Bombyx mori: one gene and its partners. The protein of the gene in region 1 binds, or shares a complex with, the protein of each later gene. Links are inferred from orthologs where the notes say so. Each region holds a gene or a part of one and is shown in the gene's direction. Other genes may lie near its edges.

Region 1 (8,480 bases):
AGATATTACAATTAGGTAGCCTGATATTTGTAGTTTGGTATTTGTTTCCTAAATTATTTTAACTGCTTTATGCCATGTAGTCATGACGTCAATGATTAATGCTCATGTATATTAAACATATCGACGGAAAAAAGCGGAATTGTCGAAAAACCCAACTTTACATCAGAACCTTACATCTATAATTCTATACTAATATTATAAAGCTGAAGAGTTTGTTTGTTTGAACGCACTAATCTCAGGAACTACTGGTCCGATTTGAAAAATTATTTCAGTGTTAGATAACTCATTTATTGAGAAAGGCTATGGAACATCACGGTAAGGCCAAAACAAGTCGAACAACAAATTTATTGTTATCTTCCAAAATAGGGGTTTAAATAGCTCCTTAACATTCTATAATTCAAAAATATTTTCACTTGCTACATAAATGAAGTCAGGGAAAATTTTGCGTTATGCCAAAGTAACTATTCCACGCGGACAGAGTCGCGGGCAAATGCTACTATAAGATATATGGTTACAAAGTGATTTAGACCAAAATGCAAGTTAGGACATGTCCGCTTTCTCCCGTCTGTATTGTTATTATTGGTTCCACACCAACCTAATGAGATGTTTATCTGGTGGGGTTGGTGTGTGTCTGAACATCTCCGGAGGGGTAGCTGTGTGTCGGAATACAGAGTTGCTGCCCGCATTCTTCATGGCCTGAAACATTTAAATATTACAAATTAGATTATTGTTATAATGTAATTTCACAATAAATAAGGTGTTCTTTGTAGCATTGCTATTATGAATGATCAATACGGATTTTTTAAATACTGGGCTTTAATATGTTGTACAGGTTCTGTAAATGACAATCAGAATTGAGGTGGGTGCTTTTAATTAGGTCAGAATTGAGGTTGGTGCTTTTAATTAGGTCATGTACCTGTAGCGGATCAGGGGGCGAAGGCGCCGGCACATGGTACAGGTGTGGTGGTGGCGTCGGTGTGTGCCACGTCACTCCACGATCAGACGCCATGTGCGCCTGAGGGGCTCTCGCTAGGAGATTCGCCATCTGCAACTGTTTTTTTTAATTTTTCTTCTTATATTGTTTTAAAAGAAAGGAATAACATAGACAAACAATTCATTTGTAACAATCAACTATAATCAAGAGCTTCTGTTATCACATCTTATATTTTTCTACTTTGTCAGTCACTCATTATTTTAGTTTAGTAAATTTATTTTTCTGAATCTTATTAAGTATTATTTATTTATTACAGATAGAACTAAATCGACATTTGATTTTAAAGGTGACCTACCCACCTGAAACCATGAGGGTAAAGTGGTTTTGGGACAGTGGCTATCTTACCTCTATCCTCAAAGGGCTTGCAACATGAATAATGCTCGTGGAAGAATAAGGGGAATGGATAGAGGAAATAGTGTTCTCGCCCTAAATATAGGGCAAGTCCTGTGTCTCAAATTTACTGGAAAACAATAACAGCTATTTAATGTAGGTAGAGCAACATGAGAAATAGAAGAACAGGAATCAATAAAATAGTAACTTTTACATTTGTTTTCATTAGAACAACTGTCTTGTTCATATATTGTCTAAATTTGTAGACACAGTTTGAAGTCTTACATATAACTTTAAGTTTCTTAAAGTATTTAAACAGATGATTAGGAGTTTTTTTTTAAACATATTACTTAAAACATAGAGCTGTTTCAGACAAAATTCAGTTGAATGTTAGGCACATATAACGTTATCAGTATTTTAATTTTCTTTTAGATATAAGAAATCAATATTTGAACTTGACTCAACAACATTGTCAAAGTAAATATTTCATATAGTTACAGAAACTGGTAATATGAATATATTATTGCAGTAAAAGGAGATTCTGTGTTAGCAATACACTTGTTTTTTTTATTCAGTTTTAAAAAAAAATCATATTTGATAGTTTTAATTTAAGGGAAATGGCACACCTAATTTGTGAGTGATCAGCATTGCACTCATGGATATTAATAACAGTAGGAGTACTGGCAGGTTGTTGAGTCTCCCTGAAGGTTTTAAAACCTGCTTTGAAGAAAGACAGCACAGTGCGAGAGAAACAGCATGGAGAGTAGTTAATAGTTTGTTCAAAATAAGATACTATATGGCAATAATGTTCTCTAGAAGTGCACCATAGAAAGCACAGCTGTTCCATAAATTAGGTACAAACTCTACAATGGGTCGTGCAAATGGAGATGACAGGAGCATTTCAAATAATTCCATAAAGCACTTTCTTCTTGTTCTCATTAAATTAACGAACTTAGTTACTTATGTTAATAATTTTAGGCTACCATTTGTCACAAATTGTGTAGATTGATCTTGATTAAAAAAAACAACAACAGTAAAATATATAGGAAATATGACTAGTAACTTAAGTTTCTCAAAATAAAGTAACCTCCAATTTTATATTCTTTACTTAACATTTAACAATTATGAGCTGAAAGTGAGATTATTGTGTGCAGTATCACAATTTTCCAATTGACCTTCGTTTAAATTTATTGTTGTTATATTATGAAATTGCAACAGATTTACACCTGTCAATACAAACAGCTGATTGGTGTGTACTACATACCTACTTCAACGATTCACGACACGCACAAAGACACGTTCATAGAAAAATAATTAATAAACAGCATTTATCATTCACATTTCTAACGTAAGGATATAATGTAACTTCCGTCGAGTATTGTGAAACTCGATAAGTTAGTTGCGGTAATTAATGAATAATAAGCACCACCTGAAGGGGGCTCCAACCGGGGCCCAATTGTGATTGCCGACCATTCGGGTTGTGTTGCGATCCGCCAGACATGATGCACGGGGCAGTCGCTCCGATTTCGACAATTCCTATTCAGCACTATGTCGTCAACAGACACTGTCTCAGTCCACCATAATGATGCCGGCAACTTTGAAGCCTTCGCCCGCGTAACTCAGATCGCTTACGACGTGTACAGAAACTTCTGAAACAATCTCATGTGTGCAATCCCAAACTTCGTTCACACTTAACATGCCGTATGAATCACGGATAGCGATAGCTACTTTTTTACACTCAACATACATACAGTTTAAAGAAAACGAAATTTATTTAGTGCATGGTATGGTGTTCACGATTCCGATGCTCACTTCGCGTGACATTTTGAACGCATTTTGATTTTGAAAATAAACACTTCCCGGTAAAATATAGGCTAGCATTTGCTCAACAATAAGATAGTGACTTTAATCAAAGCAGTTTAAAGTCAAGTTTCTGCTGTAAATACAACTAAAATCACTGAAATAATTCAAGTAAGTGATAGATTCGCCTTCACAATGGTGGCCGATTTGGATTTGAAAGCAACGACAGCGCCATCTTGTGAATAAATTTTAAAAAGTGTCGACCAAACAGCACAGCGGAAACGTTGTACTCTATTGTCTTTGGTTAAAAAAAACCGGAAGCTATATTTTTATTTTTACCTCAAGTGTATTTTTTTTTGAAAAATCTAAAGACTTCTTCATACATTTCTATTTAGTTCTTGCTCCTCTCTTTAAATCTTTATCGGTCACGCACCAGTGTGGCTATTGATTGGCAACACCGTCAAGGTCGTTTCTATGGCAACAGCTGCTTTGTTTTGAATACTTTTGAACGGACTTGTCACGAACTTGAAACTGGTTGAAACTTCGTACATAATAATATATGTATATGAGTATTGAACATTATAGAAAATAAAATAGATCAATGAAAAGTACCGAGATAACCAAATTCTTAGTGTCTTTTAGCGGTCAAATTGAACACGTAACGTTTCCTTCCGGAATATTCGATGAATATCTTTATATTCAGTATGAAGTGGTATGGGGTCCGGATTGGGAGCCTATCACGGGTCTTCCTTCAGGAACGAGTCAATTGTCACGCCCCGGGATCAACCCAGAGAGAGTTGTTATCAACATGCCTATAGAAATGACTTTCGGAAGCACTAATGTGTATGGGTGTAAGTAAAGTGGACTTTTATGCTTTTTTGATACAAAGTCTTTTACGATTTGGTGATTGGTAGTTGGGTGGGTGGGTGCCGTGTACAATTCGGAGTTGAATTAACTAAAATACCCTGTCTCTCACGTCAACACGCGTTCGAGTTATGAATGAGACGGAATTCAGACGATAGAGAAGGGCGAAGCGACACCTTCCTCGCAGCTCACCCTGTCCACCTGAAAGCCAATCATCCGGTCGCATTTACCAAGACCTTTATCGATTGCAATGTCTCTACGTTGTTCGATATAATCCTTTAAGCTTAATTGTGGCACGGGAGCGTCTAATCAAAAATATCATCAAATCTACCCTACATGATTCATTGAACGTGTACAATTCATTATATTAGTTCTTCCTGCGTCAGTCCGCCCTGCCCATATTTACGACTAAGCAGTCATGCGTTGCAATTTGTGGGTAGTGACCATCGCACAACATTAAAACCTTGTATCTTAGGGTGGCTGACGGCAAGCATGTTGTTGTCACCATTAGGACCGGTATCCGATGACAATCATTTAATCTCCTACCATGTTTTTTTTATTACTTAGATGGGTGGGTGGAAATGCTCACAGCCCACCTGGTGTTAAGTGGTTACTGGAACCCATAGACATCTACAACGTAAATGCGCCACCCACCTTGAGATATGAGTTGTAAGGTTTCAGTATAGTTACAACGGCTGCCCCACCCTTCAAACTAAAACGCATTATTGATTCACGGCAGAAATAGGCGGGGTGGTGGTACCTACCCGTGCGGACACATAAGAGGTTCTACCACCAGAAAAAAATACTTTAGACACGTCTGTACGGATCTATCAGATCCAATAGCTCTTGCATTGATGCCTTCAGCTCTAGGACCAGGCTTAGGAATCCCGGTAACCGTAATCGTCGAATTCGGCAGAGTTCGTCGTGCAACCCAACCTAAACATCAGCTCGCTGAGTTTCTCGTCGGATCTTCTCAGTGGGCCGCGATTCCGATCCGGTAGTAGATTCATTCACGAAGCAGCAGCTCTAGAGTTGTTAGGTTGCCTTTGGAAGCGCTCAGGTAGTTGTTAGCAAATCCCACCCCTCCTGGCTGAGCCTTTGCTCAACCACCTATCCTGGTGAAATTAGACAGGCCTCCGGGCCACCAGTAATCCTTCATATTTAAAAAGAAAACCATGTTTTGTCTAAAACAAAAGTTTGTGTCGTTTTCTTGAAATATGAATGTTTTGCCAGGGCCCCAACTTGTTATAACCGTGAAAGCCCGTAATTTCATAACCGGAGATACATTGCGGGGGTACGCTGTTGTGCTACTGCCCCCGACAGCGGGTAGGCGATGCGTGACGTCACCGCTCCTACGTCCGAAGCCAGCCACGGTACTCGGCGAGTGGGTAGCCTGGCTCACCGGCCGGTATCCAGAGTTGAACGACCCGAAGATGTTGGCCGACGGAAAGGATAATTACAGTACGATTATTTACTGATCTATTTATTTATACCATACACATTTTAACCCTTTGTAACCCTTTCAAACCGAAATGCATTACTGCTTCACGGCTGGAATAGGCAGGGAGGTGGTACCTACCCGTGCGGTCTCATAAGAGGTCCTACCACCAGTAGTTACGCAAATTATAATTTTGCGGGTTTGATTTTTATTACACGATGTTATTCTTTCACCGTGGAAGTCAATCGTGAACATTTGTTAAGTACATATTTCATTAGAAAAATTGGTACCCGCCTGCGGGATTCGAACACTGGTGCATCGCTACATACGAATGCACCGGACGTCTTATCCTTTAGGCCAAGACGACTAAAGTGTAAAACTCGTTTTTAACGTTCTCGATATCGTAAAAGTTAACTCAAGTATGCAGTTGGAACAGCGCCCCTAGCGGCAAACGTAGGCAAATGTTCCAATTCCATACAATTTTGAGTTAACTTTTACGATATCGAGAACGTTAAAAACCTCCCACCAAACACACTGTTTTTACTGTCGTTTGTTATTAAGTCATGTGTTGAGCGATACTCACCTATCGAGTGCAAAGGGTTAATCGCGAATACGTCTGACCCGACCGGCTCTACTAACGTTGTACCGTTCTGTAATTTGTCCCTGTGTTTCATTATGTTATTGGTAAAAATGAGAGTGCTAAAGAAATATCTCTCAGCAATCAATGGTTTTAATAAATTTTATTACAAAGTTACATTTTAATCTTATAAAAAGTAATATTTTATTAAAAAGTTACGTAGAAGATATTGATATTGAATTCATGTTGCAACGACTTTTATGCGTTTTTCGAAAATCTAAAACAAGTTAACGTGCATTGCATTGTATTCCAGTGTTAAGAACACAATCGTCAGGAACCGTGACGGTGTCGGCCACGATGGTGTCCAAGGACCTCAGAAAACTGGGCTACGACAATGAACCGCCAGCCTACACTAAATATTCATAAAATCTATAACAAATAAACTAAAAAACCAATATCACGGACAATCATAATAAGAAATATGTTTTTTAATGCTCAACCTAGCGAGATAATTATTTGAGTTTTTAATTTAAACAAAAATGAAACGGACTTAACTTTATGGATGAATAAAATAAGATTTCACTACTAATTGTTTACTTTATTATTTTTATGTTATTTAGGCACTGATTTATCTATTTTGCTTGAATTTATTACAAAAAAAACTGTTTGTTTTAATATAAGGCACATAGTTAGGTAGTGCTCATTTCATTACTTCAATAAGAAAATGTAGGTATCAACGTTTTATTTACAAATAAAAATATAATTGGTTTAAAGTTTAAATACAACAAAAAAGTTGTAATTTTAGTTTATTAATAACTAAGGTAATTTTGGAAGCTGGTCTCCCTGTTTTACCCTCTAAGAGTTTCTTCATTCATGAGAATATTTACACCATAAACATAGTCTACACAACCTGCACATAATAACCATAATAAATTGATAAAAACAGTCGTAGAGTTTCCTTTATTTTTTCGCTTTTCTAAAAATCGGAGTTTTTGGCGGGAACGCGATGAGTGAAGTTGTGTAATTTGTTTTATTTCGTCTAAATGTGTAATAATGGTGGTTTATTAACTGTGAAAGTGCACAAATGTGGGAAAATGAAACAAAGCCGCTGGACGTAACTTCTCGGGATCCTCCAAAAAGATCAATGAAAAAGTCTCAGTAAATGACCACCATTTTACTAAGATTATCTTTCAATCAAATCACCTTCATTTCAATTCATAATATCATTTTCATATTAAAATAAAAATAAGACTTGACCTTAATAAGGGATTAAAAAAGTCTTAGTCTTAATTAGGTCTTAGTTACCAAAAATATCTCTAGAAATCTAGTTTTATTCATAACTAGCTCACCCGGCAGATTTCGTAGTGCCTCAATCGATAAATAAAAGACCTAAACTTTTGCATAAAATAAACTTAAAACAAACAAAAGATCCGTCCGACGGGGGGCACATCAAAGGGAAAACAAATTTGTTATTTATATTTAATTCCGAGCATTTTCATGTTTTAAACCTTCTCTGGACTTCCACAAATAATTCAAGACCAAAATATAAATTAATTAAGAAGCAAACACTCTTCTGAAAAGTTATTTGAACTTTTTTGTGTTATGGACGTAAACACACAACGAACTATCGAGTTTCTCCGCGGGAGCTCTAACCGTTCGGGGTCACTCGGCTTGCGAATACATCTATCACCGGTTCATAATTATGACCCGCTAAGAAGATTCGGCGGGAAACTCAACGGGCCGATTCTGTGCGCCAAAATTCGGAAGTTGTCTTTTTTTTTTTCTTCTTTTTAAATGATCCATTCAATGTTTTGCGCATCGAATTTGAAAATCGCGGAACTTTTTGTTGACTTTGACGTCATCAAGATTTGTTTCGAATACGAATGAAATGAGAACGATGTTTCGGAGCACGTATTACGATGTTTATTGTCAGGAGGTTCATAGCTCCCTCCCACCACTAGGATATGCAACGGATGCCGCGATGTATGTACATACCTGTTTTACTGACGTTACCTTTATCTTTTACTGACGTTACGTTACCTTTTATCTTTTTTACTGAAGTTACCTATTTTTTTTTCGATTTGACAGCTATGACGTCACAATATGGCGCAGGTCCGTGCAGATTCTTAATTGAAACGCATTGGAGAAGAACGTAATGCGGATTACGGTGTGTGAGGTGAAATAACTTACGGACTAAATGTAAAACTTACGTTGTCCTTTCGCTATGTGATTTCAAGAGAACCTCTTTCATATCGTTTCATTGATACATAAATCATTTTATTTAAACATTACTTATATTCAAAATATTTTTCGAAGTGTTCAAGTTTAGTTTGTCAGTTGGGTACCAAAGAAAATCAGCCCGACAAACGCCTCAAATGTCCTAGGTGCATAAAAATTCCTAAATTGTTAAAGTTATCTCACATATCACAACTGGATGGCTAACAAAACCTCCTTAGTTTTGAAGTCGTCGTGGCCTA
Region 2 (8,520 bases), on another chromosome or scaffold:
TACACAGATAGATATGTTACCTCACCTACTCGGGCAGCCACTGCTTGTAAAATATCCGAGTTAAAAGCTGGGATTGGCAAAGAAGAAAATCTGTGATTATTACGAATTAAAAGGGCTGTGCCACCATACCCATCATGTCTATCATGTCTGAGAATATTAAAACCGGCCATACGGAAATTGGAACCTGGAACTAACCAAGTTTCTGATATGGCTAGTAAAAAAATATTATGTGAATTAATTAAAGATATAATTTCATGTTTTTTAGGAACTATACTTTTACAGTTCCACTGGAGGACTCTGTCCATATTTAAAAATATTGAAAATTGATAGTGAAATATTATTTATAAGTGAAAGAGCAACGTGTTCTGGTAGTTCTGAATTAGCAATAATATTTATAAGTGTGGATAACAATTTATTTAGTGTGTCAGAAGATGGCAACTGTGTATCCTTTTCTTTGTTGGATTGCAAAGCGGAACCTAGTTTACCTTGAGACTCATCAAATGAAATGCTGCGGATCAATGATTTATATTCTGATTTGTCATAACCCTTATTTAAAATAGATGCCTGTTTAGGCTTCTTTATAACAGTTTTTTTGTAAGAGACAGAATTTGAACTATCTACATCATTTAAACTTTGGGCAGATAGTGGAATAGATGATGTTATTTGTGAATATGATTTCTTTACAATAGGAAACAATTTAGAGGCTTCTTGGTATGATATGAGGTTTTGAGACATATGTTTTTTAATATTTGTTTGTCTACTAAACTCAGGGCAAGATTTGTTTGTAGCCATATGTTCACCTCTACAGTTAACACAAGAAAAAGTCTCAGTATTACAAGCCAGTCCGCTGTGCTCTCCACCACATTTATTACATCTAGGTTTGCTCCTGCATTGAACACGAGTGTGTCCAAAGCGACAACAATTGAAACATTGTACCGTTGGATAAATATACTGTTCAACTGGAATACTTGAAAAAAAGGAATACACTCTAGAGGGAAGAGACTGTCCGTCAAAAGTCAAGACCACAGTTTGAGTAGGAATCCATGAAGTTCCATCTGAGTTGACAGACTTCCTGTTTAATCTACGGGATTTGATAATTTGTCCATAGCCTTCTGGGATTTGCAGATTATCTACAATGTCCTCATGAGTCCACTCCTGAGGGATACCCTTTATCAAACCCATTTTACATATATTATATGTAGGAATCACTACATTATACAATGGATTCATAGACATGTTGGATATGAAAATATTGGCATCACTATGTGTTTTAAAAGTTATTGCCAGGCGATTACGACCTACTCGTTTAATTCCATCCTGTAATATATTACCAAGATTGCTTTTCTTTAGAAAATTTCCAAATTTAAGTGGGTGCAGTGATGTAGTACTATTAGAATCTGAGATTAAAGTAACATGGACCATATATGGGCCAGGATCCTGTTCAGTGTATTTTTTTCTGTAAACAGAGTCGGCCATTGGGGTCTCAGATGGTGTCATAGAAGGACTCGCTGAAGTAGGCTCTGGTGAGGTCTGTACAATTTGGCGAGGAGGCACTATAAGCTTATTTACGTTATTTGCAAGATTTCCCGCCAAAGCCTGCTGCAGCGGGCGCAACGAAAGTTGTTTGTCCGAGATCTTTGGTTTAAAAGAATTAACAAGTTGTTTCTTTTTTTGGGATTTCTTCGATTTAACGTTGACAAATTCAGATACATTGGAAAGGTCGAACTCATCACAGAAAAATATTGGTTGGCTAAACCTTGAGTTAGTCGTATCAGTTGTCTCCTCAGTAATATTCGGATCCGGGGGATCCGTTCCCGCCTCCAACTCCATACTATCTACGCTAAAGTACTAAAATATACAATTATAAACTAAACATATATACAGTTATAAACTAAAATATGCTACAATATCTACAGAATATCAAATTAAATTAATTAAAAAGGATATGAATTTTTTTATTGGCCCTCTTCTCAAGTTCCGTCCCAAATTTTTTGAAGGTTCCCGCCTCTCTCCTTATCGTCAGGTAGTATTAATAATAGTTCCATTTAACCAACTGGAAAGGCGAAGGTGTCACGCCATACATCCTTACAACTTTCGTATATTCCCTGAGTATCCCTGCCTGCAGCTTTCTGCGAGTATATTCTTAGGTTCGATATTTCGAGCGGTGTACGATATTGGAGTCATTTGGAAGATAAAGCCAAATTAGCCTCTAAAATGTTCGAAGTCCTCAATTTCACGCCTGGACTTGCGCTTTACAAAGCACAAGTCCAGCTTCACGTGGAGTACGTGAGGCCCATCACTGGGCCAAGGCTACCAGGTAGTAGGTACCATTTGACCCCATACAAAGACAGACCACTCAGATTGTCGATAATCTCATTCTCACGGATCGCTTGAAACCTCTTAACAACAGGTGGGCCATGAGCTTGGCCCCCCATCTAAGCAATAAAAAAAAACTTCCCGCCACCGGAGCAGATTTCATCCATACAATCTGGAACCGCTGTGTTCATCGATAGTGCGTTTCCAGAGATCATTCAGCTGTGTACCACCTGGCTCTAGAATGAACTCTCCTCCACGGTGTTTCTCGAGCGCTACGATATGTCCTTCATCAAACGCGGCCTGGAGGACCTACACCTACCTATTCAATGATTGATAGCGACTTGGCTATGCCCCTGGCATTGCTGACGTTCATGAGCGACGGTAACCACTTATCATCAGGTGAGCTATATGCTCGTTGGCCTACTAAGGCAATAAAAGAATAAAAACATGTAAAGTAATGACGTATTTTATTTTATTTCGTTTCATTTTACATTTTAAATACTTATCAGCCTTTATTTCAATTTTTGTTTAATGGGCTATACATTTGCGTATCCAGTGAACGAATTAAAAAAACGCAAACAAACTGTAAAATGTGCAAAACAAAACAATAACAAAGAGTAAAGCAAATATATTAAGTGTATAATCTATGAGTAAAGCTGATAAAGTATTAAATGAATAAACGGCATTTTGTTAAAGTTCAATAAATCCTATGTGGATAACTAATAAATAAACTTTGACTAAAAATTTATGATTTGTACTTTTGTACATTTAAACATTTCAATGGAGTATAAAACTATGCTACGTTTGCAGAAATGTCTGTACTTTAAAATAAATCTATTTGTTCTCTGGTGTTTTGTGACAGGGTTTTTCTTGTTTATGAAGGTATACTTTAAAATCTAAGCTGTGTTCACTGTACTTAGAAATTATCCTATTTATTATGAATAGGAAACGTAATACGAGATCTCAGTTAAAAGATTTGGGGCTCCCTGATCTCATAGGACTTAAATTAATTTGCTGACAGTGATGTATCAGCAATACAATGGCATTCCTTTAATTCAGATCTGGTGATAAAATAAAACACTACTATTTTTCAAAAAGTGAGGAACAAAGTAACTAAATTGAAGTAACTTTCCAAACAGAAATATGCATTGTGTAAAAAATTAAACAATTAAGCGTTTTAAAAATTATTTTTGCAGTTTGATCAACTTAGCCACCTGACAAAATACTTATCAGCTACAGTTTTTTTGCTACTATCTGGAATAGAAATTGTACGATTGTACCTTGGTAGATATGGAAATTTGTCTTGCAGAGTAAGTAATTAGCCATAGTTATTACTACTAATTATGTGACAAAATAAAAACATTTGCCAGTCCTTAACATTAAGTCATTGAATATTAATTAATACCTTAGTGGCAGAGATTTACAAAAACAATAGTATAAATAACAGAATGTAATAGGAAGAAAATTGTTTAAAAATACTAATATTTATGGGAACTTTAAAAAATTATATCTCGTAAACCGTGAGTCTTGCAATTTTGTAAAAAGCTTTTTATTTATGAGTACTAGCTACAAAGATATTGTGAACTTCCAAATCGACGGACCCAAAAGGAAAATTTAGTCAAAATAATAATTTGTAATATACTATTTTTTTTTAGGTTCCAGAATTAGCTGTATTCCTCATGTTGACAATTTTAATGCAAATGCCACTAGTTAGCTTCTTCCTTTTTCATCCATATTTGCTGAGTACACCAACAGAAATAACGCTGCATGCTATGTTTTGGATGACTACTATTATTGAGATTGTGTACGGGTTTAGAGCATTAAAACAAGCTTCTTCTCTAGCTAAAAGCATTTACCTGTCCACAACTCAGAATCAGTGAGTTAGTAGAGTAGTAAAAATATAAGGTAATATTGTAGTAATATTATGGTAGAATGCAGCATAATTTATATAGTATCAGACTGTAATTAGTATGAGCACTAATCATGGTATGATAAATACAAAACATTAAATAATAGCATTGTCAATGTGAAAAAGCATTTTTTGTTATGTCCTTTTTTTTATCGAAAATCAAATTTCTTTTGCAAAGAGACTTAGGATATCTATATATTTCATAACTTTAGATTTCTTAATTTGAAACAAAGGTAAACGCAGTATACATTTTTCATTTATTAAAATTAGAAAATAAACCTTAATGGGTTGAGTTTTTAAAACAAACAAAACATAGGCAGCAACTTTGTTTTCCCTGTCATTGCTGATATCCATGAGTGATAGAGGCTACTTATGCCCATCAGGTGGGTCATGCCATATGCTTAATAAAAAAAAAAAAAAATTTTTTTTCCCTAATAGCCTAATTCATGCTTTAGGGCACTGATGGGTATGATAACTACTCTTGCATGTACTCTTTTGAACAGATAGAACAGCTGTTGTATCAATGCAATGAAAATTCAATCTTCAAAGCACTCTCATTTAATATGTGGTTGATATACTTACAATAACCACTTAAAACCAGGATGAATGTGCGTTCATGCTAATTTTAACCATGACAAAACAGATCAGTCATTATGGCATAATGACCAAAGTTTTTTAAATGAAACATACTTTAAATGAAAAGACTTTATTGTCATAATACATTTGATGCTGGAACCATATCTTAAGATATTTAATAAAAATTGCTTTATTTAGCAAAGCTTTGGCATAATAAACATAAATATAATTATTTAACATAGCTTGTTATATAATAGTTAATTACAAAAGTAAATTAAGTTTTTTTTAAACAATACTGTCATAAATTACATTCAACTTTAAAAAATAGCGTCAAGCACACAAAAAATATTAGTCATAACTTTAAAATAATGATTGCACTTTTTCTTAAGTAACTACTTCAAACAAAATGGAATACAGAAAACTTCTCCGTTCATATAAAAGTAAATCAATACTCTGACTCATATTTATTAAATTTATTATTGGTATCAAAATATATAAGATTTCATTAAAATGGTTTTCAACATTCATATTTAAATATTTGTATTTGCCATTAAACTCTTCAAGGCACTGGTTTTTTATTTGTAGAAACACTGGGAAAACTTCAAGGGAAAAATGATATAATTTTGACACAGTTGAATGGATCTACAAAGTACAGTGTTTAAATGTAAAGGTTCGACATTTTCAAATTCATTTTGGAACAATCTGACTAGTGATGTTAACTTTCCACGAACAAAATTTTTAACGGAAATTATGTTCTATAACTCAGTATTTGTGATGAAGACTGCATTTAACTCCTCCTTTGAAATGTTGCCATAGTAAACCGTAAGACATCGTTTTAATCTTTCAGTGCCAAAGTACTTACTTTTAAGGCAGCTTGAATTGCAGGAGTTTTATTTGTCCACATTAAGATTTTTTTCTCCGATTCCGATTAACATTTACCTAAATCCCCTTTCCAACTATGAATGATCAGCTCACTCAGGTCTTAATTCTTCTAATTCTAAACAAAGGCTATCAGAGCAAGAAATTCGCAATCAAGTGCTCTCAGTAGCTGTGGAGTAACAAGGGTATTGGCTGCATCTAATGCAGTGACTTTATTTGTTAAAGTAATTGGAATTCAGAAGCTAGGTGTATTCGAATCTACGTTCGGTTACACATTATTTTGCCTTTCCTGTAAAAAGTATATTTTAGCATCCTGACTTTTTGCTTTTAGCAAATTCCGTTACAACCAATAAGTCAATATTCAATTATCTAAAACTACTTTTTAAAAGTGATTAAACCTCTTCATGCCTCTGCTGTGTCTCTAATTCTGTAGCTTTTTTTCACTTATTCATGTTCATTATTTTAAGATATATTTATAGTTTTAATGCTAGCACATAATTTAACTTCTATCAAAACTTACAAACCATTGAATCATTGTAACTGGTGCTTGAACTTTTTTTATTATCATATGTATAATATATCTCGTTAACGTACTTTAAAATATCCTATAATTTATTTTTGGTTTCAGTTAGATTTTAATGTTGGTTAAGCTGTATCACTAAATAAGTTGTTGTCTTTAAAAAAGTCGTCTATCTTGCAGCGATTTAAGTGCAATGTGATATTGAAACTCGCCAATTTTGTCTCGAAACTTTTGATATCACCATCAACTCCAAAAGATTTGATCATTTGTGCAAAAGTTGGTGACATCTTGCAGATGAACTGAAATGGAAATACAAAAAATTTAAGTATTATTTTTAAACTGATAAGTATTGACTTTAATTAGAATTTTATTTTTCAAATGTTTTTCAATTTACGCCTTGAATGTGGTGTAATTTATTATTATAGTTTACTTAAAAAAAAAGTCATTGCAGGAAGGTTGGCAAATGTGAAATATTGATATTATTTTGTACAGCTATAGATGGATAAAAGGATAGTTTACGAAAGGAAATTAATGAGGCATAGTGAAAAATAAAATATAAATATTAAGAAAAAGTGGCTTGCGCATGGCGATGCTTCGCCACATTGTACACAGACACAGACTACTATGTATAGACTGATGTAGGGATGCTCGATGGTCATCGATATTAAAACAAAAAACATCGTAACATCGATGTCACGGACATCGATATCGATATCGAAATTCTGTTGGCTGGTCAACCCTATATCAACAGCACAATAGGTTGATAGGTTCTGAACTTCAAGTTATTATTTTTAGTCAATTAACAAAAAGTATTGGAACTTATAACATGTACCTGTGCTCTGATATCTTTAATTTATTTTTCATTTTGTTGAATTATAAAAACGTTGTGATTTTATGGTTGTTTTATTAATTGATCAATATTTGCAAAAAATATTGATATCCTGCTAACAATGTCATTATCGATGCCATAATCGATGTTTATCCGACGTCGAACATCCCTAGACTGATATATATTATGTATGTATGTTTATACATGTATATAGTATACATGTATATTCATTTAAGGCGATGCATTGCCACGCAAGCAATCGGTTTTATTCGTATAGCCATTTCACATCGAAATAATAGACTTACTATAAATAATTGTTGTGTGACCCAACTGTGATACTTCTTTACAGAACCTTCATATGCTTTGGTGAATACATATTTCATATTTATCTCCTTTTTTGCCTGTAAATTTTCTAGTATATCTACAAATACTAATTCAAAAAACAGCAGAGCTCTGAAACAAAACATTTTGCAATAATATATAATTAATTTGTGTTTTTATTTTATCGTTATATGCAGATAAAAATAAAGCCCATCTGAGGTAAGTAGTGGTCACTGTCTCTCATAGACATTAACAATGCCAAGGATTCAGCCAAGTTGCTGACTACTGCCCAGGACTTTCTACAAATCTCGTTTGACGAAGGACATGTCTAGGGGCTCAGGAAACACAATGTAAGGGAGTTCATTCCAGAGCTGGATGGTTCCTGGCAAAAAAAGGTTCTCTGGAAACGCACTCTGGATAAATGCAGAAGTTCTAAAGAGTAAGAAGAGTTAGAATTGAAATAAGGGGTTCTATTCAGGTAAAAATGGTTAACTATATTGAATATTATTTATAAATAACATTACCCATTACTGCTTTCAAACCTTGTTATCATACCTGTTAAGCCATAAAACTCCTTCAGTAACAGGAGCTTTACCATTATTAATTTCTTCAAGCATTAACATCAGTAAACAGGAATTTTCATCAAATTTGTAATTTTTTTTTATTCTCTGAAAAACAAAACATACATATGTTGTTAATTTAAAAGAAACCAATTGTATGGACCTTAAGGTATTTCAGAAACCACTGAACAGGAGTCAGAAGATAGGTAACAGGGTTTTATACTGGGTCAGAGAATGACAAAGACAATAAAGAGACATAAGGAGGGAGCCTCATCTGAGAGTATCTGAGATACTGGAATTACTTGAGAACAATTCTGAAATAAAATGGTTTTGCTTTCTTTATGCCACTGATGACATCTTGAAAAGCAATGACATTCAAATAATTTGAAATAAAAAAAATAACTACAGTAAGTTTTTTTATTAGTTTTTTCAAGGTCCATTATTTAATATACTTATTTACAAAAAATGTCAAAAAGTCAAAGAGCATAAGCTAACTATTAATATCAAATCCACATAGAAATTCAAAAGCCTTATGGCCTTATAGTGCATGACCTAAGTAAGGTCTTATCGAGGTTTAGAGAAAAGGACACCCAAGGAAAAACTTAGAAGA
Region 3 (7,413 bases), on another chromosome or scaffold:
GGTTGAATGTTATTGAAAATGTCGTTAGCGAGATTTAGGCATCTATCAAATATCTTGTGTTCTGTGATAGCTATAAGCTACAACACTACTGGGGTGATTTTTAGGATATTATCAAAATAACCCTTGTACTTATATCTGTTCATAAAATAGATTTTATAACTACTGATACCATGCACCCCACGCTTTTTTTACAATAAAATCCTTTTTTCTTACACTATTTTTAGTTGGATTTTCTATAAAAGCGTATTTTGTAATTTTTTTTAAACTATTATTTATTTTTCATTTTTTAGTTGAATTTCAACTTTTTCAATATATTTTTTTTCATTTTTTTTTAATATTGCATTGTCATCGGTCCTTAACAAGTATTCGAGTTAATCCGACGTTTTGAAGGGGGTCAAAATCAAGCTCAAAGATTCCGTTACAAACATATATACGTCTGAAGCTAATAAAAGCGTATTAATAAATGAAGTCTGTATTCTAACAGAATAAATAAATTCAAAGATAATCAACTTAGGAAAAATATATTATGAACACAAGCAAGTATGGACGCCCTAATAAGGAACCGCTTCTTAAGTTACCTATCTGTCTACATAACTAAACTATACTTAGAAATCGTAATCGTAACATAGTACTTATATTTTAATGTGTATTCCATCCACGTTATGAAGCAATAAATATGCATTATTTGTAAAATAAATGTGCATGTATGCCTACCAATTAACAATTTATTTGCTAAAACTGCTTAAACATAAAGCAGAAAGTTATAAATCATGTGTTTTTCTGTTTATCGTAACAACAACCTTTCCTGTTTAGTTATTATGATAATGTTTTTCAACGGTTAGTAACAAAACTGTTTAGTTTTTTAATTAAAACTCATTTAATTAATCAAAAATGTCGTGCTGCTTGAAGAATAAAAAGTTATTTTTTATAAAATTTTTGATTTTTCTGAATAACATCATCAATGAAACGAGATTGGACGAGACGAAATTATTTCCCAGTCAATGGTAGAAATTTACTCCGTAGAAATTTACTGAACTTTATGGATGAATTCGAGAAGTCAAGTCCGGCAACTCGTTGCATTTTTCTGTTCATTTTCCTGATGCTAAACAGTTGGTAAGCTTATTACATGCTTAAACTCGAAGTAACACTTATTTAACGCAATAAAACAATTCGCTGATCGCATTCCCGCCAATGAATCTATAAATCAATGACATGCTATAAATTGACAGCATACATGAATAGCGCGAGGAATGCTCGAGATTTCGGCGATCAGTCTCTCTTGGAGCCCAAAGCTTGTGCCTGAAATGGAGAACTCCTTGGGAAGGATCTTCGAATTAGGCGAGTTGAATTTTATAAAAGTCAACGTATTGTAAGCACAGGTTTACAATTCCGAGGAGTATTATTATTTATTATAATAATAATAATAGCTTTTTTTATTCCTAAACATAGGGTTACAAGAGGTCCCTAAGTTCGGTGTGCCTTTTGGCATAGGCCTCCTCCAATTCCTTCCAATGGGTCCTATCCCTTGCTACTCTCAGCCAGAATGGTCCCGCTGTCTGCTTCAAGTCATCTTCCCATCTCCTGATTTGACGACCCCTGCTTCTTTTGCCGTCTCTTGGTTGCCAGAGGGTGACTTGTTTGCTCTATTTGTTAGTGGGGTGGCGTAGCATATGTCCAGCCCATCTCCATTTTTGGATGTCTATCCGGGTGAGAATGTCTGTGAGTTTCGTTCTTGTTCTTATGTCTACGTTCCTGACTCTATCTTTGATTTTTTACCCTAGCATGCTTCTTACCATGGCACGTTGGCATTTTATTAGCTTTTCCCTGTGGTTAACGTTGGAAGCATAGATAATAAATACACTTAATACATATTGGAAGTCCCCAGCAGAGCGAACTTACCCCATATTTTACGCCAGGCCAAAGACCTATGCTTCAAAAAGCCCATAGATATATAATATCAACTTTTTTGTGTTGTTGATTATTGTTTTATTAAAATGTTTGTCTCCCGATATTAAACAATATTTCCTAAAATATTAGTTTGTTTTATCCTTAAAGTGTCACAATTCAAAAAGAAAGCTTTTTTGTTCTTAATAATCATCTCTTGTACCACATTTTACAGTACTCCGCAATCATTCAAAGCTACTAATGCCGGCCACTCACATGCGCGCAAATATTCGTACATTGTACGAATGTTTGCGCGCATGTGAAGGGCCGTCAAACATTCATTCGCAAACTTAGCGGCTGTGCAAATGGGTTCGGTACTCAATTTGCGAACCCGTTTGCGCTTCCTCCTACACTTGTTTACGAATGTCTCACGAATTTCTCCTCCTTTTTAATTCGTCAATAGAACATTGAAGAGAAAAAGAGTTTTGAATTCTTTCCCAGACATCATTAACAGCCATGCTGTTTTTATGGAATTTCTTTTGATGAAGATACGCTACACAGTAGACGTCACGATCTATGAAAATAGCGAAACGTCCGCTACCTTCGCAATCCTGGGCGCAACTGGTCACACGAATGTGTGGGAGGCTTCGCGAAGGATCGCGGTTCGCGCGCTTTGATGTCTGTTAAAAAACCGACACAGCTTGGAAAACCACAAATGCAGCGAAAACTTTGCTTATTCATTTGCAAATGTCGTCCTACACTTGCGGGTTTGGGTATTCGAGTGAATGTGAGTGACCCGTATAAAATACTGATTAAATTTGTTAATTAAAAAAAAAGTGAAAAAGTGTTAGGTATTTATAAAATTAAATTAAATAATAAACTATAAATGACCATTTCTTTTTTTGTCTTAAAGCACTATTTGAGGCCGAGATGCGATTTCTTAACCAGCATACTGTATTCATCAAACCGCATTTATTGTTCTCAAAGCGTATTGTATAGCTATATCTGTCGCAAGCCAGTAAGGTGTTCCAGTATGAAGAGTCGGGTTGAAGTTAGTCTGTCCATCTCGAAGCAATAAAAATATTGATAATTTACTGGTAGGTTACAGGTAGTAGGACGTATTGGAAGCCCGTATGAGTAGATATAATAATGATCCTGCCCATTTCTACCGCAAAGCAGTTATGCATTTGAAGGATGGATCAGCTGTTATATAATAAAATTGAAACTCTGACATCATGTCTAAAGGTGGGTTCGCCATTATTCTTATGATGTTTGGTGTTTGGTATCCACTTTACACCAGACGAACCGTGAGCTTTTAGACTTCTCTAAATAAAAACACAGTTTTAGTGTAAATAACACAGAAAAAAGCCTTGTAGTAGTCAAATATTTACTGGGCGCTATAATATAGCAAAGAGCTTTTTTTTATTTATAGCTTAGATGGGTGAACGAGTTCACAGCCCACCTGGAGTTAAGTGGTTACTGGAGCCCATAATCTATCTACGACTATCCACATCTACAACGTAAATGCGCCACCCACCTTGAGATATAAGTTCTAAGGTCTCAATATAGTTATATTGTCAGTCTCATGTATTTCTCATGTAGTTGTATTGTCAATCTCATGTATTATCTCAGTATTGTCTATATATCTAATGTTTCTTTAGGTTTAAATATGTAACAGCGGTGATTTATTAACTGTTTAGTATCTGTGGAAGTGCACAAATGTGGGAAAATGAAAAAAAGTCGCTGGACGTTACTTTTCAGGATTCTCCGAAAATTCCATTGAGAAAGTCTCAGTAATTAACCACCATTTTACTGACAATATATTTCATTCTATATTATCTCATATCATTTCATTTAATTTGCCAATTGCCAATTGATTAATGTTCCAAATCAATCAACTTCGTTTCTTTTCATTTCATATTAATAATATATTTTTTAATTTTTTTAATATATAAAAGATTTGGCTGTATGGTATGATACCTGTGCCCTTCCAATTGAAAAAATAAAACTACTACTACTACAAATTTCAAAAAGTGTAAACAAAAACATTGATTTTTATTACATACGAAACCTCGAAACAGCCTCCTCTCAATTTAGAAACTTTTCAATACATTCGTACAATTTTATAAAATATGGAAAAAATGTCGAAAGTAACAAACGTTAATTCGAGTTTGGCTTATGAGATATTACTGTATTTGAACAGTTTTTATTTAGGAATGTTTATCGTTTGTGAAGTCGCAATGGGGATATTGAAGGCTATAAATGTTTCGTATCCAGAAAACGCTCTATTAACAGAAGCCGGAATATTTAGCGCCCTATGCTTTGTAGAGATGATTAGGATCTTTTTGGGGCGTAGAGGAAACTTAGCAAGCAAAAGTAAGTATCGTATATATTCAATATTCTGCAAAAATATATTTCAAGATTCGTTGTTGTACGGAATATGTACTAAATCGCAAAAAAATATTTTGTGTCTTAAGTAAATTAAAATAGAAACTATTTTCGTTTCGTTCAATGTTACTTTTCACCATAATATGTTAACAATGTTTTTGTTACAGAAATACCGGTCTTTCTGTCAGTGCTATTGACGATTCCCTCTGCTGTAGGAGTATGTTATTTTCTAATTTATCAAACTTACATACTTCGGTTGGAATACATCTGGTGTGCCGTCATGTTAATGTTCCATGCTCTCGAGTTTGCTTTTGCAATCTTATTTATTTTTACTGTATGTAAAAATCAACAATTTGATTAAATAATGAAAACCTGAACCTCAAATATTGCAAACATTCCATATTTTTATTAAATATAGCATTAATTCAATTTGATCATTGTAATTACTCTTGTGTAGTAAACTAGGATTACTAAAAGTTAGAAACATGTGAAAAAATATAATCTCATGCCTTATGATTCTCCTTACTTTGTTGTTAATCTGGTAACATTATATTTACTAGTCTGCATTTTTATGTTTCTAGCCATTTGTAACATTAGTAATCCCCTTTGTGAAAACTGCATTAGAATTACTGTGATCATCTTATTATATTATACCGCTTTGAATAAAATCAAGAGCAACATGTAAATTAAGACTGTTTTTTTAACTTTAATGTTCAAAGTTGGCTTTTGATCTTTATGTGTCTGTTAATTAAATATATTTAATTTAATTTTATTGATTTTTAATATTTATAAATTAGAGTTGGTGAAAAATAAAGTATTAAACTAAATAACATTTAACTAATTTATTTTTATTCTAAATTATTACAATGGCAATTCACTCTTCGCTTTCTTTCTTAGGCGGTACTAAATGTTCAGGTAACTTTTGACATTCAATTTTTGTAACTTTCAACGCACAACCTTCTGGCAGATTCCGTTCGATATATTCCAAATATGTGTCGCACGTAGATCCAGTGAGCCTCTGCATATGTATAAACCTGAAGTATGTACGAATTTCATACTGCACTTTGTGTTTCTTGTAAATGTGTACACATTTTAAAAGTGTGTGCCTTTCTTTCTCTGCTTTCCTTAGTGCCCAACTGAAAAAAATAAAACTAACTAGTAGTATCTCTTTTAGCACTAATAACTTAAATTTAAATCTTTAATATGAAGGGTAAAATTTTAAATTGTAATAAATCATCTTCAAATGCCTCTATCTCCCTATATTTCATTATTTCATTACTAGTACAGGTATAAGGTACATGTAGTTTTAAGTGATAACCAGAGCCCATAGAAATCTCAATAAATTTCGATTCTATTGGCCGTCCTACCTTTCAAAGCAGAGCACATTATTATTTCTCAGCTGAAATGGGCAGGATTGTCGTACCTATCCATACAAGCTTTCAACTGGTTGGAGATCACATATATACACAAGTATATACACTCATTTGGAAATTTGGGGTTTGGGGAAGGCTTAACGACGAAAGGAAAGATCTTCCACCGAGCGGATGATATTGCTCGGTAGACCGACGGTCCGAATGTTGTTGTTCGGAACTTGTATATATGCGCTTTATCTTGAAAATGTCGTAAGCGAGATTCAGGCATCTGTCAATTATCTTGCGTTGTATGATGGCTACCCGCCACACTCAAAACTGCTGTTGCCTATTCTTAAGCAAATCCCGTAAAAACCTACTATGATAACAAAAGTAAGAGATGTTCTGATGCTATTCTGGGCTGACAGAACACAGATAACATAAAAATGTAACAAAGCTATACTATGCATTCCTATATATATCTCTATAGGTATAATATATGGCAATACAATAAAATAATGAAGGCATCAAATATTTTATAGGAAGCAAAATCAAATTCATCTTCAAAATAATAATTTTGATATATTCAAAGAAGTACACTAATTTTGGAAGACTCTTTGTTTCATCTATTTACAGTTGATTGGTATTTAATGTGTTTATTTCTGTCAATTAAACCTTGACAGACTTTAACCTTATTGCAATTTTCTAAAAGGATTTAAATATAATAACTATTTTTCTCTTTCGTATTTCATGTTATTAGTGTGAACATAAAACGTTAACTGGCTAGACTTTCCTTTATGGTTGATCAATTTGGAAGTTCACAATTTTTTTGTATATAATACTCATAAATAAAAAGCTTTTTGCAAAATTTCAGGTTGCGGAAACTTATGGTTTGCAAGAAAAAAACATTGTTTCCATACAAATTGAGGAAATCGTCAAGGTAGACAATGGACCATAAAGGAAAATTTAACTCTTTTAACTTTTGGGATAAAAGCATGTATAAAACCTGTTTTCATGATTTTTAATTTTATAAATCATGAAAATCAAAGAGCTATTCTCTCATTAAAAGAACAGACTCGTATTTCTAACATACCTCTTAGTGACTTCGATACCAAGATGTGAAGCAGCAGCAACGCAAAACCATGAATAGCTGAGTAGCACAGCCGGGTCTATACCGCGCATTTCTAATTCTACTCTTTTATATAACTTGTCCAATTCCACAGGAGGAACCACTGGTTCAACAGCATGAGGTAGCGCCGTTGTATTGGCGGATAGTGATCGAATTGCATAATTTGGTATTGTAACACCTCTAACAGGAGTTAAACGCCAGATACTCTGAAAATTAACCCATTATTTTCAATGTAATAACGATTCAAGTAAATTAGATTGTTCTGACGCGTATGCTTTTTAACTCACTCTTATTGCATTCATATTTAAATATAACTTAATTTCTATAGTATTATCTTAATTTTGTCCTGTAGAAATATTTAATAATTTAATTTACTTCCACTTTCATAATATTTTTACAGAACGTAACCTCAAATATATTAAGTGTATAATCTATGAACGTAACCTAAAAATAAAACTTTTTATTTTAGTCCAGCTGCGCAAGCAAAGGAAGCATGGCCTTACATACTACAATAAGCGTTTTGATTAGTTACAAAGTTATTAAAGGAGGCCACGACCCTCAGCGACAGCGTTGAGGATTATCGGTGGAAGAAGTATAATACAATAAAAAAAATACATTACATTTAAGGCCACAAAAAGTATACTATGTAAAATTACAAACTTG
Region 4 (8,220 bases), on another chromosome or scaffold:
CACAACTAGCGTTTACCAACTAAGATTCAGATTCTAAGATAAGATTCAGAATTCAGGCAACTTTAGACATTGGCATGAGTCAAATACAAATAATCTTGCATGAACAATTAGGTGTAAAAAAGTTGTTTTCCCGATGGATACCGCATTCGCTCTGTGAAGAGCAAAAAGCGGCTCGCGTTACTTGGTGCGTCAGAACTCTCGAAAGATTCCACTCAAGATCCTCAAATGCTGTATACAACATTGTATCAGGTGACGAATCCTGGATATACGCGTACGAACCCGAAACAAAAAACCAGTCACGAGTTTGGGTGTTCGAAAATGAGTTAAAGCCAACAAAAATTGTTCGTTTACGGAGTGTTGCAAAAAAAATGGTGGCCACGTTTGTCTCCAAAACCGGCCATGTTACGACTATTCCTCTTGAGGGACAAAGAACGGTTAATGCAGAATGGTATGCTAGTATTTGTTCGCCACAGGTCGTTTCTGAACTCCGTAAAGAGAACTGCAATCGCCGCATCATCCTCCATCACGACAATGCGAGTTCTCACACCGCGCACAGAACAAAAGAGTTTTTAGAGCAAGAAAACATAGAATTATTAGACCATCCGCCGTACAGCCCTGACCTAAGCCCTAAGGATTTCTATACTTTCCCTAAAATAAAGAATAAATTCCGTGGACAGAGATTTTCATCACCTGAAGAAGCTGTGGACGCCTACAAAACGGCCATTTTGGAGACCCCAACTTCCGAATGGAATGGTTGCTTCAATGATTGGTTCCATCGTTTGGAAAAATGTGTCAAATTTCGCGGAGAATACTTCGAAAAGCAATAAATACATTTTTAAATAGTAATGTTGTGTCACTTCGTTAATTCCCGAAATTTTCAGTACCGCCTAGGTAAGTAGGTCCGCCTACCTATAGTAAGTAATAAACAATGTCGAAGGGAAAAAGTTTACGTTAAAAATTTGATAAATTATTGAATCAAACTCATCAAAAAAAAATTTGATAATTAAATTGTTATTCTCTATTGCTTCATAAAGTATTTTTTTCACTTTAAGTTCAATGCCTATTTTCAAAATATTGTTCATGCAGAAGAACAAGTTAGGAAGTACACGTTCCATAGAATTAAAATGTGTTGCTTTTGTTTTGTGAGAAAACAAAAGGGCGGATGGACAGGCTCGGTTACTGAGCAAGGTTTTGTCTCGTTTGTACATAATTATAGTTGAATCAACTTATTCATTTTAGCAAGTTTATAACCTAGTACATATTATTATACTGTTATTTTTATTTCCGTAAGTTTAAGGAATTTTGTTATTGTCTTCCGCCGAGAAAATGTTTTAAAAAATTGCGTAATAAGCAACCGCAAGCCAAAGCGTATTACACTTTTAGTACTAAATCCTATGTCGCCCACAAGACTACAATTACATCAGTATTATCTGAATTCAATGAATTTTTACTGGTGGTAGGACCTCTTGTGAGTCCGCACGGGTAGGTACCACCACCCTGCCTATTTCTGCCGTGAAGCAGTAATGCGTTTCGGTTTGAAGGGTGGGGCAGCCGTTATAACTATCCTTGAGACCTTAGAACTTATATATCAAGGTGGCTGGCGCATTTACGTCGTAGAAGTTTATGGGCTCCAATAACCACTTAACACCAGGTGGGCTGTGAGCTCGTCCACCCATCAAGCCAATAAAAAAAAATTAAATGTTTTCAATTTTAAATATTGAAACAAAAAAAGAAACGGTGGCTCAGCAATTAACTGTGCTTGATAATAATTCCAAATATCATTAACGTTCATTAGCTACGAATTTCGTAAAATTTAAGTAGGAGCTACCATCCAAAAATACCTAAATCAATTCGGTTCATTTGTTTACGTAATGGTTAGTTGCGTACGACAAGAAAATCAAGATTTTTTCGATTTGTCTATTTTTGTTTCTTTCGTAATAATCGCCTCCAATAAACAACACAGCCTAATCTTTAAATTGGAAAAATTGGCTTCTTGCGATAATAATAAGTAGGATTTGCATTCCTATCGTGCCTTTAATAAGGTTTATTGATTAAAATAAATAAAAATTTATAATATACAATCGTTAAATCCCCACGGGTTGCCGAAGACCAGATTGCTATTTCGCAAGATCCATGCAGAGCAGTTGAGATCCTCTTCTTCGGTGTCCCTCGCTGGTCTCCAAGTCACCAAAGGGAGGGAACCACAATATCTTAGGCACTAGAATTTAAGCGAGATACCTATTATCTTAGCATTTCTTGTGTAAAAAGCCATAAATGATTTAATTTTTTGAATATTTAAACATGTAGGCATGCAGTAACATTTATTTTGTTGTCACGACAATTTTTCTTCCTCTATCCCATTGCCATAGATGGTGAATTTAGAATTGTTCAAGACTCGTAATTTTTGTCTTGTTACTTATTATTAAGTATTTTCCATATTAAATTGACCATCTTATTACCCGTCATTGAGAGTTAATATTAGAATATAATACCAATATAAGTTACAGTGAGTAGATGTCAGTGAATTCAAAACATCAAAACGCGGGACTTTCATAGTGCACTTAAATATTAAAAGTACATAAAAGTTCACTAGGGTACCGGAACATTTAGAAAGCTAATAGGTATATATTTAATAGTATATTAAATACTGTATTGGCGGAAAAGCTTAATTCATATGCACCTTGAAACGAAGTGTCCGTTTGAATGGCCGGCATTATGAACCAAACCCGCCTCCCTCCCTTTGTCTACGCCAGGATCCTTGCTGAAAAAGATAGTTCACTTTCGTAGATGAATGAATGAGTTCACGTAAGATTAAATGGTCGTTTAGGCCAATAGACAACACAAATGCCTTCAACCACAACCCTGGGCGTCTTAACATTAAGCTATGGTGCATGTAGAAAATTTTACAATAATAAAATATATATTTTATTCTTTAAAAATAAACGATAAACACCTATTTATTCTGACTCTAGAAGCGTAAGGTCGGATCTACTTCTTACTGAGTGTCTCTGAAGAGAACTCGTATCAATATTGAAGAATTTTGGACTCCGTTCTCAGAAAAAATCTAATCTTTCATAATTTGGTGAACGTGCTTACTGTTTAGCTGGAGTTGAGTGGTTACGGGAGCCCATAGACATCACGACATTAATAGCGTCCCACCCTCCTTGAGATATGAGGTTGATGTCTCAATGTTATAGTATAACGGCTGCCCCACTCTTCAAACTGGAATGCATTACTTTTTCGCGGTAGAAATAGGCAGGGTGATGTAAGTATGGACTCACACGAAGCTCCACGACCAGTAAAGATTTATGATTGCTAAAATGATCATAAACCATCCTAGAATCAAAGAGTAGAAAAATTCTATATATGTAAACGAGAGCTATAGCTCGCCCTTTGACCAGTTGATGTTGAATCATTATTTCTTTATATTCCTTAATTTAACGCTTCTAGAGTACATATATATTTTTGATTCAGGAATTTAAAGTTTGCATTTAATTGTAAAATAATTCAGAAAAACCCTCTGCCCTAAAAAAGTCGTTGCTTAGCAACGGTTTGTTTTGCAGGTCAATGCTATTGATATTTAACATTTTACGCATATTAGTACACCGAAAACACTGTAAATTTTATATTTTAAAATGAGCTTGTACAAATTGTTTAGTTCAAATGTCGAAATACAGTATAAAAGTACCTTCCTTTCCAAAGCCATGTTCTTTACTCTTTTTACGTCTATCTTAAATATTATACTGCCTTTTATTATAGCTCAGAAAAGTAGAGGTTAGAACTCCAATTTAGCCTTGCTAAAATCAGCTGAGTGAACCATGTCCAGAAAATACTTAACAGTATACAGAAACGGTCCTATTATCGTTAAAATTAAATTATTTGAAATAGCCAGTAATTACCGAATAGATATCGAAATATAAGATCGTAATACAAATATGTATTTTTACAGGGCTCTGGGTGAAATATCACAGTTTTTATGAACAGCCAACTGTTCATTTTACGTATGAGTATGTACTAATAGCCGAAACTGAGGATCCCAGTAAACCCATACTTTGTACAGAAATTGGATTGTTTGGTAATGATAATGAAGAAAGCTCTGAATCATGTGCAGAAATGCAGGTAATGAATTTTTATCGAAAGAATTGTACTGTGTAAATACAAATTACATAACTATATAGACAATGAGTTTGTTATGAAATAAGACTAAATACACTGTGTAGTACATTTTATACTGATAACATGACCAACTACAGTTTTTGATGAATAAAATTATTAAAAACATGTATTTCCAGGTTCAAGAAAATGATTTCACTGGAGATGGCAAAAAGGATGAGCTGTATATTAAATTTCACCTAAATATACCACCAGACAGAACTGTGTCTTCTATTTTATTAATTTTATCTCTTGATTTTCAGCTGAAGGTATTTTTAACTATTTTTGACATTTTAGATATTTAATAAAAAAAGGTACTAAATCTTTTCTGTTTATTTATATTTTATAAATAGGTGCTTTAAATATGGAACAAATACTTTAATAGAATCCTTTTGTTTTCTTCTTGCAGACAATATGCCCTTTACAAATGCAGAGCTTGGCATTGATTACCAAAGAGTTTGTAATACCACCATCAGAATTAATTTTTCATGGAGATCTAAATTTTTATCAAACCACCCACTTACCTTGTGAATGGTTTAATCAAGATACGAAATATAACAGATCTTTATTTGAAATTGAAAAATGGGAAAGTTACATGTCTATTGATCATTATCTGTCTGATTATTTTCATAGAGAAGGTAAGATTATTTATTTTTACAAATATACATTTTGTGCTTATTCATATTTTAATATTGGTAACAGCATTGAAGACAAAAATAATGGCTATTGTTGTGCAGCCACAGACAGAAGGCCATAAACCTACAGTAATTTTAACACAAAATTGTAACATTTATCCTGAGTTAATAAAGATTTGATTATCAATGATAATCCTTCTTTAGTAAGGCAAATAAACTCAAGTTACTTAATAAAAAACATAATGCTCCACTGTCCATTGGATCAAAACTAATCAGGTATTCATTCTTTCAACAGCTAGATAATAGGCCAAAGAAAGTTACTTGATAATAGTTTGTCTATTATTTTTCATAATCTATCCACAGTAGATCTAAACTTCCTGGTTATCCCAAATTACTATACCATTCGGGCGCATTGAAAGTCCATACCAGTTACAAATCAGTTATACAGTTCTGCTATTATTTCTGTGGTTCTGCTGCTGCCATTAATTTCAGTTTGAAGTGTGGGTTTGCCTTTATTGATACGTCAGCCTAATGTGATCTGCAGAGTAGCATTCAAGTTCTAATGTTACCAGAGTCCAGTAACCACTGATATAAGTAAACCTACAGCATATTTATTCAACTACATTCATAACCAAAAAATAAACTATTTTCAGTTACCACAGAAGTCAGAACGATAAATTCTAGAACCTACAATGGCCAGACAGATTCTATGACTGTTCAAGTTCATCTAAGAATTCCAGAGATGCAAATAAGATACACTCCTAGTATACTAGAAGAGTTTAAGTGGGCTTGGCCTCAATATCTCTCTTTTGTAGTGATATTCCATTGGTTCTTCAATAAAGTTAAGGAATTTATATTTACCAATCGACTTCTCATGTCATGGAAAGTACAATCTTGGAAAACATTTGAATGACGAACTTATGTAAGATCTATAAAATTGTACTGCGAAATAATTGATTTGTGCCAATTTCTAGTCTTCACTGTAAAATTCACTTTAATTATTAATAAGGATAAACATGTTTTAATGTTTGCAATAAAATGATATTATAAGCATTAAGTTTCATTGGCTCAAAGAATTTAATTAATAAGATTCATATTCCAAAACTATTCTTATGGTGTCAGAAGAAGGTATAGTATTCTATATATTTAAAAGATTTCAATATGAAAGTGCTCACTATATTTATTATTTTTTAAACTAAAACTTTACATAATAATATGAAACGAAACAATTTTATTTTGCTAATCATTTATTCGATATCTACTTTACTATTTACATGTTACATAGTTAATTTTATATCACTGAGTGAGAGTTAAGGTTGGAAATGCGATATCAGGTTTGGTATTATCTAATTCAGCTCGGTTGTCCTCAATTATAAATGTTTTTCCACTGTAGTCATCAAGTTGTACCAGCAAATATCTGCACATATAGTTTCCATAATCATTCTGAAAAAACAAGTGTACTGGTGAATTGGAAAGATTTTAAATGAATTTATTAAAATAGAAAATTTTAAACAGAGATTATAAGAAATTGATGAGGTGTATACAAATTATTCAGATGTATGGTGTTATTTGAACTTTTAAGTTGTTAAACACATTTCTATTTAAACAGAACTTACTTGTTTCATATCAAGTTCAACAACACCTTTATTTCTTATCCCTTTAATATAGAATCTCATTCTCATATGTTTCACTCCATCTTTTTCATATACTGCATGACTGACATGGGTACGTCTTCTCCTAGTTGTTTCTTCTCCATAACCTTTTATTGGTGCACCAAGAGCATCTTCTACTCTAGGATCCTGCAATCGACAATAATTTAATAAATACTTGGTAAACAATACTTTAAATAGTGTTTGTTTCCCCTGTTCATTACTTACTTTAATACTGACTACTGTACTGCATTCTGCATTATGCAATGCTAATGATTAATGATATAGAAAAATTTGACCTTGTTTATTAAATAATCTGTAAATTTATCATAATGTAAACAAGATTTCTTTCACACAAGGTAATTTACCTGTTTGCACTTCTCAAGAGCTTCTGAGTAAATGCTGTTCGGACTGTTACTTGAGAACAGTTCTCGAAAAACGTAAAAGAAAATCACACCTGTGACTCCGACACCGAGAAGTATTACGCCGGTGTAAGAAACAGTTTTTGTAGTTTCTTTGATTTTTTCTCCTAAGGGTCTTACATCTGTAGATACATGGGAAGCACTTTCTTTGCTTTTGGATTTAGTCAAACCACTTTCTTTTTCAGAAGAGAAGTAACGGGTATTAGTTCTAAATTTAGTTTGTAATATGGCAGGAATCTTTTCAGTGGTGCTACCGTTCCGTAAAAGCGGTAAAAATTTAGATATTAAAGTCATCGTTCACTTTTAAGTGTGCTATTTAACAGAATGGTTAAAAAAAACTCAACCTCCTTATTGTTATTTCATCGTCAAAAATTTCCTATAAAGTTGATAAAAATAACCTTAGTTATTTACTTAATTTTGAAGTTTACGTAGCTATCATTGCTATCAATCAAACTATCTTATTTGTTAATTAGTCAGGCAAATGAAACTTAGCGAAACAGCCACTTTTATTACACGAAAAAGAAAATGTTAAAAACAATAAAAAATATAAAATATTACACTACTTAAGTAAAAATTTTAAAAGAAATGAAATAGAATTTAAAGGAGTTCAGATGAGATAAAATAAAATACTCAGTATTTTACTGAACGGTAGAAACGTCATTGGACTTTTCGGAAAAAGCTATGTTAAGCAAATCGATTTAATTTTTCTATATTTGTGCTTTTTCACCGATACTACAAAGCCTATAAGCCACTAATGTTGCTCGTTAAAATCTGAAGAAGCATCAATTTAAAAAAGTAAAACCATTCTCTATTTATAAATGGATATATCCAATAACATAGAGAAAACTCTTCGATTAGCCACTCTATATGTAGTAGGTAACTAATTTATAATATTAATAGACTTTTTGGCGGGAACGCGAAGAGTGAAGTTGTGTGATTTGTTTTATTTTGTCTATTTAGTGTTTCTTCAGGTTTCAATGTGTACTTAATAGCTGTTTAGTATCTGTGAAAGTGCATAAATGTGGGAATCTTCCAAAAAGTCCATTGAAAAAGTCACAGTAAATGACCACCATTTTACTGAGATTATATATCATCCCATATCATCTCATTTCATTTAATTTAATCCCAGTTGATTAATGTTTCAAATTAATCTTCATTTCATTTCATTTCACTCCATATTATCATTTTTCATAAAATAAGAATTTTAATAATAATAAGACATGACTTAAAGATCTTAGTTACCAGGTCCAAAAATTCCTTAAAAAAAACCGCTGTAAATGTCAAAATCTGTTTTTATTTCAATCAGAGAAGTGTATAATCTATGATTAAAATCATTTTAGATCACTGGTTTGAACTTGAACA

The links.
Region 2: B9 domain-containing protein 1 (region 1) and transmembrane protein 17 share a complex: the UniProt entries of both Homo sapiens proteins name them as parts of the tectonic-like complex. The link is inferred for Bombyx mori from reciprocal best matches to the Homo sapiens genes B9D1 and TMEM17.
Region 3: B9 domain-containing protein 1 (region 1) and transmembrane protein 216 share a complex: the UniProt entries of both Homo sapiens proteins name them as parts of the tectonic-like complex. The link is inferred for Bombyx mori from reciprocal best matches to the Homo sapiens genes B9D1 and TMEM216.
Region 4: B9 domain-containing protein 1 (region 1) and transmembrane protein 231 share a complex: the UniProt entries of both Homo sapiens proteins name them as parts of the tectonic-like complex. The link is inferred for Bombyx mori from reciprocal best matches to the Homo sapiens genes B9D1 and TMEM231.

What each region holds. Positions count from the first base shown.
Region 1 is NC_085123.1:2,232,314-2,240,793, reverse strand, and holds B9 domain-containing protein 1, read left to right. Parts: upstream 1-3,522; 5' UTR 3,523-3,725; coding exon 3,726-3,975; intron 3,976-5,221; coding exon 5,222-5,449; intron 5,450-6,316; coding exon 6,317-6,429; 3' UTR 6,430-6,592; downstream 6,593-8,480. Other genes in the region: uncharacterized protein CG5098, read right to left, coding at 596-696, 917-1,051, 2,751-2,825. UniProt on the Homo sapiens protein: Component of the tectonic-like complex, a complex localized at the transition zone of primary cilia and acting as a barrier that prevents diffusion of transmembrane proteins between the cilia and plasma membranes.
Region 2 is NC_085116.1:10,339,555-10,348,074, forward strand, and holds the start of transmembrane protein 17, read left to right. Parts: upstream 1-2,835; 5' UTR 2,836-3,063; coding exon 3,064-3,198; exon of another isoform or gene 3,199-3,413; intron 3,414-3,512; coding exon 3,513-3,626; intron 3,627-3,971; coding exon 3,972-4,192; exon of another isoform or gene 4,193-5,386; coding exon 5,387-5,417; 3' UTR 5,418-5,471; exon of another isoform or gene 5,472-6,325; coding exon of another isoform or gene 6,326-6,499; 3' UTR 6,500-7,334; coding exon of another isoform or gene 7,335-7,482; 3' UTR 7,483-7,905; coding exon of another isoform or gene 7,906-8,018; 3' UTR 8,019-8,520. Other genes in the region: glycolipid transfer protein, read right to left, coding at 6,326-6,499, 7,335-7,482, 7,906-8,018. UniProt on the Homo sapiens protein: Transmembrane component of the tectonic-like complex, a complex localized at the transition zone of primary cilia and acting as a barrier that prevents diffusion of transmembrane proteins between the cilia and plasma membranes.
Region 3 is NC_085132.1:4,409,648-4,417,060, reverse strand, and holds transmembrane protein 216, read left to right. Parts: upstream 1-3,884; 5' UTR 3,885-4,016; coding exon 4,017-4,260; intron 4,261-4,439; coding exon 4,440-4,633; 3' UTR 4,634-5,039; downstream 5,040-7,413. Other genes in the region: mRpS10 (mitochondrial ribosomal protein S10), read right to left, coding at 5,147-5,408, 6,715-6,956, 7,038-7,052. UniProt on the Homo sapiens protein: Part of the tectonic-like complex which is required for tissue-specific ciliogenesis and may regulate ciliary membrane composition.
Region 4 is NC_085110.1:12,596,263-12,604,482, forward strand, and holds transmembrane protein 231, read left to right. Parts: upstream 1-3,616; 5' UTR 3,617-3,635; coding exon 3,636-3,774; exon of another isoform or gene 3,775-3,818; coding exon of another isoform or gene 3,819-3,852; intron 3,853-3,949; coding exon 3,950-4,119; intron 4,120-4,292; coding exon 4,293-4,421; exon of another isoform or gene 4,422-4,466; intron 4,467-4,561; coding exon 4,562-4,790; intron 4,791-5,440; coding exon 5,441-5,700; 3' UTR 5,701-5,837; downstream 5,838-8,220. Other genes in the region: mitochondrial import inner membrane translocase subunit Tim21, read right to left, coding at 6,084-6,230, 6,404-6,586, 6,805-7,152. UniProt on the Homo sapiens protein: Transmembrane component of the tectonic-like complex, a complex localized at the transition zone of primary cilia and acting as a barrier that prevents diffusion of transmembrane proteins between the cilia and plasma membranes.